Danio rerio: one gene and its partner. Each later gene encodes a partner of the first gene's protein in a complex. Links are inferred from orthologs where the notes say so. Each region holds a gene or a part of one and is shown in the gene's direction. Other genes may lie near its edges.

What was found. The genes of interacting proteins can lie anywhere in the genome.
Region 2: tmem67 (region 1) and tmem216 share a complex: the UniProt entries of both Homo sapiens proteins name them as parts of the tectonic-like complex. The link is inferred for Danio rerio from reciprocal best matches to the Homo sapiens genes TMEM67 and TMEM216.

Annotation. Positions count from the first base shown.
Region 1 is NC_133191.1:30,690,274-30,693,839, forward strand, and holds part of tmem67 (meckelin), read left to right. Parts: intron 1-18; coding exon 19-109; intron 110-274; coding exon 275-374; intron 375-963; coding exon 964-1,033; intron 1,034-1,145; coding exon 1,146-1,217; intron 1,218-1,314; coding exon 1,315-1,377; intron 1,378-1,466; coding exon 1,467-1,621; intron 1,622-2,429; coding exon 2,430-2,538; intron 2,539-2,607; coding exon 2,608-2,694; intron 2,695-3,415; coding exon 3,416-3,481; intron 3,482-3,566. UniProt on the Homo sapiens protein: Required for ciliary structure and function. Part of the tectonic-like complex which is required for tissue-specific ciliogenesis and may regulate ciliary membrane composition.
Region 2 is NC_133189.1:29,311,866-29,316,177, reverse strand, and holds the start of tmem216 (transmembrane protein 216), read left to right. Parts: upstream 1-1,480; 5' UTR 1,481-1,491; coding exon 1,492-1,504; coding exon of another isoform or gene 1,505-1,521; intron 1,522-3,150; coding exon 3,151-3,164; intron 3,165-3,253; coding exon 3,254-3,347; intron 3,348-3,428; coding exon 3,429-3,521; intron 3,522-4,312. UniProt on the Homo sapiens protein: Part of the tectonic-like complex which is required for tissue-specific ciliogenesis and may regulate ciliary membrane composition.

The DNA of each region.
Region 1 (3,566 bases):
GATTACTGTCATTCAAAGGTGGTCACCCAGGATGGATATGAATGTATTCGTTGTCCTGGAACTGTGGGGAAGGATGGCAAGTGTCAGTGTCCTGAGGGAAGTGTGCTGGGTAGGCGCTTGTCATTTTTACTAAAACAAAAAATACATGCATTAATTGGACAGACTATATAAAGACTTAGTTATTTTTCCTGAAAGCTATAATTCAAACATGTGCAATTTGGGTAGATGGTTAAGAATTACTTAATATTTGATGGCATCTGATTGTTTTTTGTAGTGGAGAGAGATGGGAATGGCAATCCCTTAATTGAAGCAAGGTGTCAAGCATGTAGTGCAACAGATCCTGCTTTTTCTGCCCCAGATATGAAAGGCAACAGGTAACAATGCTTTTTCTATAACTGACTTTTTATGTTCTTAATGATTTTAAATTAATAGCTCACCTAAAAAAATTGTGATTAAATTGTGAAAATTTGTGTTTTTTTTACTCACCCTCAGACCGAGATGTAGGTGTATTTTTATATGGTTAATAAATTAAATGGAGAAAAAAAAAGGAAAATCTAATTAAAGGGATAGTTCACCCCAAAAAAACATTTACTCACTATTTACTCTTCCTCAATTGGGTCCACACCTTTATTCTCTTGAACACAAAAGAAGGCATTATAAAGAAATGAAAACCTGTACTACGGACTTTCATAATAGGAAAAAATGCATTGGTTCCTGTGGCTCCTCATGATTTAATGATATTGCATGAAGTCTGTAACAATTGGCTTATAATTAATACCCAAATTATAACCATAATTGCATCTGAAAATCTAAAATGTTCTACTGAAGAACAAAAATCACCTAAATCTTGGATGGTTTGGGGGTAAATTAACAGCAAAGTTGTATTTTTGAGAGAACTATAATTTTTAACATTGCATTACATAATTTATTTTGAAATAATTTGGTTGGGATGTTTATATTTAGGTGTGAGAGATGTGGGGACTCATTCATTAACTCATCTCAGTCTTGTGTTTGCGGCACTTCGAATACGCTGGTGAGAATCTCAGATATTTGGTGCATTTGTTGTTTACATTTATGTATATGTTTATACGATGCTGTTAAAAAGACAAGATGAGAAAGGTATGATTTCATCACACTGTTAACAGGCAGGAGGAATGTGCTTCCCTGCGAACAGTCTGCCTACCTCAGTTGCCTCAAGTGTTATTTTTAGCCAACTGGTAAGTGTTCTCTTTAACATCGTAAATAGTTTGTTTGAGTGTTTGAGTAAGCTTGAATCAGTTGTCATAAAGTGTAATGTGTGTTTGTTTTACACAGACTCTCCCTGTCCAGTCAGCATGGTTTTCAAGCTTCATGTATTCTTCGGCCGCTGCATGTTTGGTGCATTTCTTCACACGTCTACTAGTCTATTTTAAATGTTTATCCTTTATGTTTCACCCATTTTAAGCTGTGTTATTGTTCTTCTGTAGTTGTTCTCTAACCGGACTGCATGTCAGTCTCTGGGAAACATGTGTGTTATGAACATGCACTCATCCAGCTCCATCAACAATGATGTCTGTGGTCTCTACAACACAATCTACAGAACAACAGCTGCTCAGGGCAGCAGCCAGGACATCTCCTACTGGTAACATACATGACATGATTACATAATGATTATTGCTATTGATGTGGTGTCTGCTGCGTCTTTTGAAACCACTCGCAAGCCTTGAGGTTTAGATTTCAGAAGGTTTTTTTCACTTTGTCAGAAACAACAAAGCTGCGTCAATCTTCCTGTCTGAGTTAGCATATTTTTATGCAGGTTTTCCTCACATACGTCATTTGTGCCTCCAGACATGTATCCTTTTCACCTAGGAATCATATGTTCAAAATAGCAGTTAAATGCATAACCTGATTATAAAAAACTCGATTATAGTTCCACAGGCCTCGTTTCATACATGGTTCAGATGAGAAAGTAACATGATTATATATTACAGACTCTCCCTCAGGCCCTTCATGGATAGATAAGACATCTGAACAAATTGTAGATTACGCACATGGCAATATTCCTATTGACTATACTTCATCCTAAGAGTAAAATCTTCTTCATTCTGCACTTAAAATGTCCAGATAACTGATAATCTTTGGATTTGATAATCTTTTTTTCTTTCAATCCTATCAACTATTTTAAAAGAGATTTAAACCTGGAGACTGAACTTTAAAAAAACATATTACAGCAATCCTTGATTCTTTAAGGTGATTGTTTGTCTGGATAGTAAAATGATCATTAACCATAGGCATGGCAATTTTTGCCAATGTGGTCTGATTTAAATCCTTGTTGTTCGTACATTTTTCTACTTTCTGCATCCCTATATTCCCTAAATTCTACTTTTGCCCCATTGGTCCATAAAACATGGCAAATTAACCTGCTTTGCTTGACAATGTTGTTATTCTAGGAGGACAAACCTACCTTGGCTGTACTATGGAGATCAACCAGGGATGGCATCACAGGCTCTTCAGAATGAACCCCTTCCTGTTGGATTCAGCTTTAAAGGGGCACAAAAGGTAAACACTGGACATTTAAACGTAAACATCAATGTAGTATTTTTTCACCAATCGTTCTGCTGCTTTCAGAACACCAACATTGAGTTGCGAGCTGCTGTGTACTCAGTGCGTGGAGAGTTTCTGAGATGGGAAAGCGTTGGTAGAGGCAACCTTCAGGTAGGCAAGCAGGACTGGTTTCTCTTCTGGGGTAAAATCCATGAAACATTCTGAACTGCTGTTTTCTTGATAAGATTATTAAATGATATATACATTTACAATGTTTGTTGTTAATTTTAAGGTGAATAATTAATTTGTGCATGTAAATCCACAAAAAACTGGTTGTTTTGGTCGTCTTTAATGAAAGTCTTGATCATTTTTTTTCTGCTTTTGGAGTGACAGTCCAACCTGAGGGCTTCCATAGCAACCGCATATTAATACTCTTTCTTACGATTAGCTTGCTATGAGGTAGTGATATGCAACATGAAAGAAAGTACATCAACATACTGAAATAAGTCTCAGATAGTTCTGATACTTTCCAATATGTTACTTTATACAAGTTTCATGTCTCACCAGAATGTTTCATTGATGTTTTAGCTTAAAATACATAATGTATAAAGAATTAATATCATTTAACATACTAATCTGATAAAAATATCAAAAACCGACATCAAGCTTATTTTTAAGTTTCTATGTGTCTCTTTAAATGCAAATTAGCTGCTGCTCTTTCCAGAAAGTGAAGCATTTTCAACCCATCTCTTGATCCTCTCACAACAAAATGTCTAAATGTCTGTTGCAATATCAAATGTGCTTATGTGACATTGAAGCTCTTCAATCAGAAGAAAGTTTATTATTTGCTTGTGTTTTAAAGTCTTGTCTTTAATTTATGTATCTTCTAAAGCTCTGTCCAGACACCCCTACCAGACAACAGTCTGCCTTCAAATTCGGGACAGCCTACAAGCAGAGTGTAAGTCTCATTTATCTTCTGCCTCAACCAGATGGTATTTAGCTATTTGTTTTGTATGTAAATATGTAAATGTGTATTTAATGGC
Region 2 (4,312 bases), on another chromosome or scaffold:
GACAACTTAAACACATATTGATAATTAGTGCTGTATTGTTTGTAGTTTAGGCTGACAGCATACAAATACATTATAACCGATTAATTTACCAGACGATATAACAAATAACAACCTGCAAAAGTTAGACAGTAATATACAAATGAAGCACACAAACAAAAATATCGTATCTATCGGTCTACCTAACTGACAACATAACAAATGGCATTCATTATAAACAGGCTACTAAAGAAGATAACAGAATACACAAACTAGAAAAATATGGATTCAAAATGCTAAAGTTAACAAGTCGTCTATACAGAAATCTCCATTTCCATCCAACATTCAGTACAATCAACAGTCTAACCGAAGAAAGACGTGGAAAAACTAATATACTACTCTGAAACGATATGACAGAAAGAAATACTAAAATATTTAGTGTATTCAACCAAAATCTCGTCGAAACAACAAAATATAACCTAAAATTATACTTTAAGAGAGATCTTTACATACCGCTAATGTCAGCGATGGCCAGACACTTAATGAAGGTCACACTAGTTTCTCAACGTCATTTTTCGAACACATTCTTTTTTAGAACGCCACTGACTATGGTAACCACAGCAACGCCACCGCACCGCCATCTTATGAGTATTTAAATAATAGCAACTGTGATTCTCTGTTTGACTAAATTTCGTATGTTCATATTCTATTTTGCATGCATATAAGTCTTATTTTTCAGGCATATAGTAAATTTATCTGTATCTAACCTGTATGTCTAAAAATAAAATATAGTTCAGTTTAAGCCACCAGAGAGCACTGTAGCTTCGGTCCGTGAACGGAGGAGCTGCTATTTTATCGGATAGAAAATACAATAACGCTTATATTTAATAACTGATTATAATTGTATGGTGTGAAAAAAAACCTCCAGTTACCTAGAAGAAAGCTCAAACGTGTAATGTGTATTTTATGTTATAAAAAGATATGTAAATGTATACCTTTATCAAAATACTCTCTTTTTTTACAGTTTTATAACAGTTAACAAAAACAGTTTATAAAAAGTAAAGAATCACACCTTATTATTATAGTACAAATTCTATACAATAATGTAGAATAAAAAATACATTATATCTGAATAGAGGAATTAATAATAGCGAATATGAAATAGTAGTGTGCTATGTATAATAATCATAACTATGAATAACACTAATACAACATTGCGTATACTATTGGCTAAAAGGAACGTATAAAAGGTTATTTATTTCAGTGGCAGTGACTGTTTTGCTGCTTAGTGTGCATATGAATATACAGATTATTATATTTATATGAACCGTAAGCTGTGACCGTTACCATTTTGTTTTGACCTTGTGGACTATAGGTGGAAAATGTGTGTGCTTACTACAGAATGTGTTCATTTCTCGCACTTGTATGTTTTTGATCACTGACCCGTTTGCTTGATTTGATTGGATGGCCGATGTTTGTCTCCGCCTACAGTATGCGTGTCCATGGCAATCTAACATGGCTGCCCACGGTAAGCAAAACGGAAATGTTTTGGTTTTGATAGTAAGTTTATTGGTTCACCTTAGTTGCGCATATTTAACTTAAATAAGTGGGCGACTTTAATAAACCAGACCCAGACGTTTTTGAAGAAACAAGCGGACTAATAGAGCAGAATGTGCACTTTTGTTTAGGGTGGAAAGTAGGCATCACGTAGCCGATTTTAGCCATTTAAAGCACGCCTGTCTTTTTTCCAACAAATAGATGTTATTTTTTTTATTATATTCTTGCATAATGATTAACTGCCTGTTGATCTTACTTCAATGCTTAATCTGTGTGTGTTACTTAACCGCGTGTTCACTAAATGTGTTCTCGCACTTGTCAGTATTGTTTTGTACAAATTGTGCTTGTGGGGCAGCTATTGTCTTCAACACTTTAAATGCAACCTATTTATTTTCATCTTTAAAAAGTCGTGTTTTTGAAAAAACATAGGTCTAATGAGAATTTTTATAGATAACCATATTACTTTGCTAAAAATATTGATAACCACTATTACTAGTTAATTGGGGCAGAATACCCGATTAATTTCAACACTGTGTCTTAAAATGAGCTGTATGAAAATCTTAAAAAGGCTGTTAGTTATAGTGGTAGGATGTGTTTACTTTGCAAAAAATCTAATAATATAAAACTCTATCCATTTAATTTTGTAATATACTTTAAAAAAAGCACCTGACATTACTGTCTTATTAACACTACCAACGATGCTGCTCAGGTATTCTCTGTAGATACAACCAACACATTTTAATGAAATTTAAATCTTTCCTTTGTTCTTTAGTCATTAATGTTGTTCACAAATGCTTCATGTCATTTTAAAGGGATAGTTCACCCAAAAATCAAAGTTCTGTCGTGAGTTGTCCTGGTTTCAAATCTATATGAGTTTTTTTTCCTGTTAAACAGAAAAGTAGATCAGTTAAAGAAAGGTCGAAACCTGTAACCATTGATTTCTGTAGTTTTTTTTTTCCCCGATGGAAGTCAGTGGTTACAGGTTTTCAGGTCTTTTCATATTTTTATGTTTAACAGAAGAAAAATAAAATCTTGTAAAAGTTTTGAACCACTTAAGAGTAAGTAAATAGTGATTACATTTTTTTGGGGGGGATGAACTATGCCTTTAAAAGTACACTGTCCTGTAACTTTGTACGTTTATTTCATTTTCAGACTCATCTTTATTTTATACTAGAGTTTGTAATGTAAGAAAACTTTTAACAAGTTGGCCTGGATTATGGCTTGAAACATTTTAACAAAGACTTTTGAGGAAGAAAATGAGCCACTGACCCAAAACAGCATTGTATATGCATGCCATGTGCAATATAGGAAGCTGGTTTGTGAACTCTGATAGGCAAACTGACTGTAATATTGAATGAATGCATACAAATTCACAAACCAGCACATTCTCACCTGTGAAAGATTTATGCTATCTATATTTACACTATCTTTGGTTATAAAAATGTCAGTGGCAGTGCCCCCCTTTTCTTCTACAAGTAGAGACTGCACAATATTGTGGCATCTTGAAAAACTGCATTACCCATTCCAAGATGGCAGATGCATAAATGAGACTAAAGGACTTTTACTTTTAGACCTATGTTATTTTCACTAATTCAGTATTTATTTTCACTTTTGCAGGAAGACAACCTGTTGTATCTTTTCAAGCTGTTTTTTTTTCTTATTATTTACTCGTTTGTCTTTGTTTATTCTGTTGATATTGCTTCTTAACAAAGTACCTCAGTTGTCGTCCACACCACTGCAGATCCTGTTTCATTTGAACGGCTGGTATTTTGCTGCATTTTTCGTTGCTGAGATTCTTATGTTCATTTACAAAGGTGATGTATGGCCTCTTGAAATATTCTGAAAATTTGTGATTTTATTTGTCAAGTAATCACTGTTTGCTCTGACATTTGTAGGAGTGATACTCCCTTACCCACAAGATAATCTGATATTGGATGTTGTCCTGCTGCTCCTCTTCTCTGGCCTTGAAACACTCAGACTTTTCTATGGTCAGTGCCTTATAAAGTTGTTTAATCTGCTTTAGTTTGTAGAATCGTTCAGTTAGTGCACTGAAATTATGCTCAGTCAGAACTTCAGAAGACCTTGTGAAGCAGTGTTTGACGATGCTCAAAATTTAGCAATAAATAAAGTGTGCATTAGTCGGGCCTGCTTCTTCAGCAGTGCTAGTTCTAGAAGTGTTTTTTTCTTCCCCATAGGACTTTATAAAAATGTTTTTTGAAAAGTGCTACAGATTTTTGAGCTGATCATTCCGTCAATTAATTAACTTACTCAAACGTGTTTTGTTACAGTTTTTATGTTATCTTCTTTGGGATTATTGAATAATATGTAAATGTCTAGACGATTTGAGATACTATATAAAACTATAAACACAATAACTTGTCTATAGAGAACAGGAATTTGACGTAACTGTGTAATGCATTCTGGGTGTTTAGCACAAGAAAGCCTGATTCCCATTGATCTCTACTGATTTTTTGTATCATATATATACACTCATCGGCAATAAACAGGAAGTGTTTGTACTACAGGTAATGAAGAAAATCATATATGCAGATGTTTTCTTGCTGCAGCTTGGGTAACTTTTAAGATTGTTACTTTTACTTGAGTATAAATTTTGTATACTCTACCCACCTCTGAAAGTAATACTGGTAATAATTTTCAACATCTTTTAGTGGATGCATTATATGAGATGCCTACCGCAGCTTAGTTTTAGGGATAGTAGAATAAATCAATGCACTGTGAATCAAGAAATGATTCTTGGATCGATTCAGAAATTTCCTGA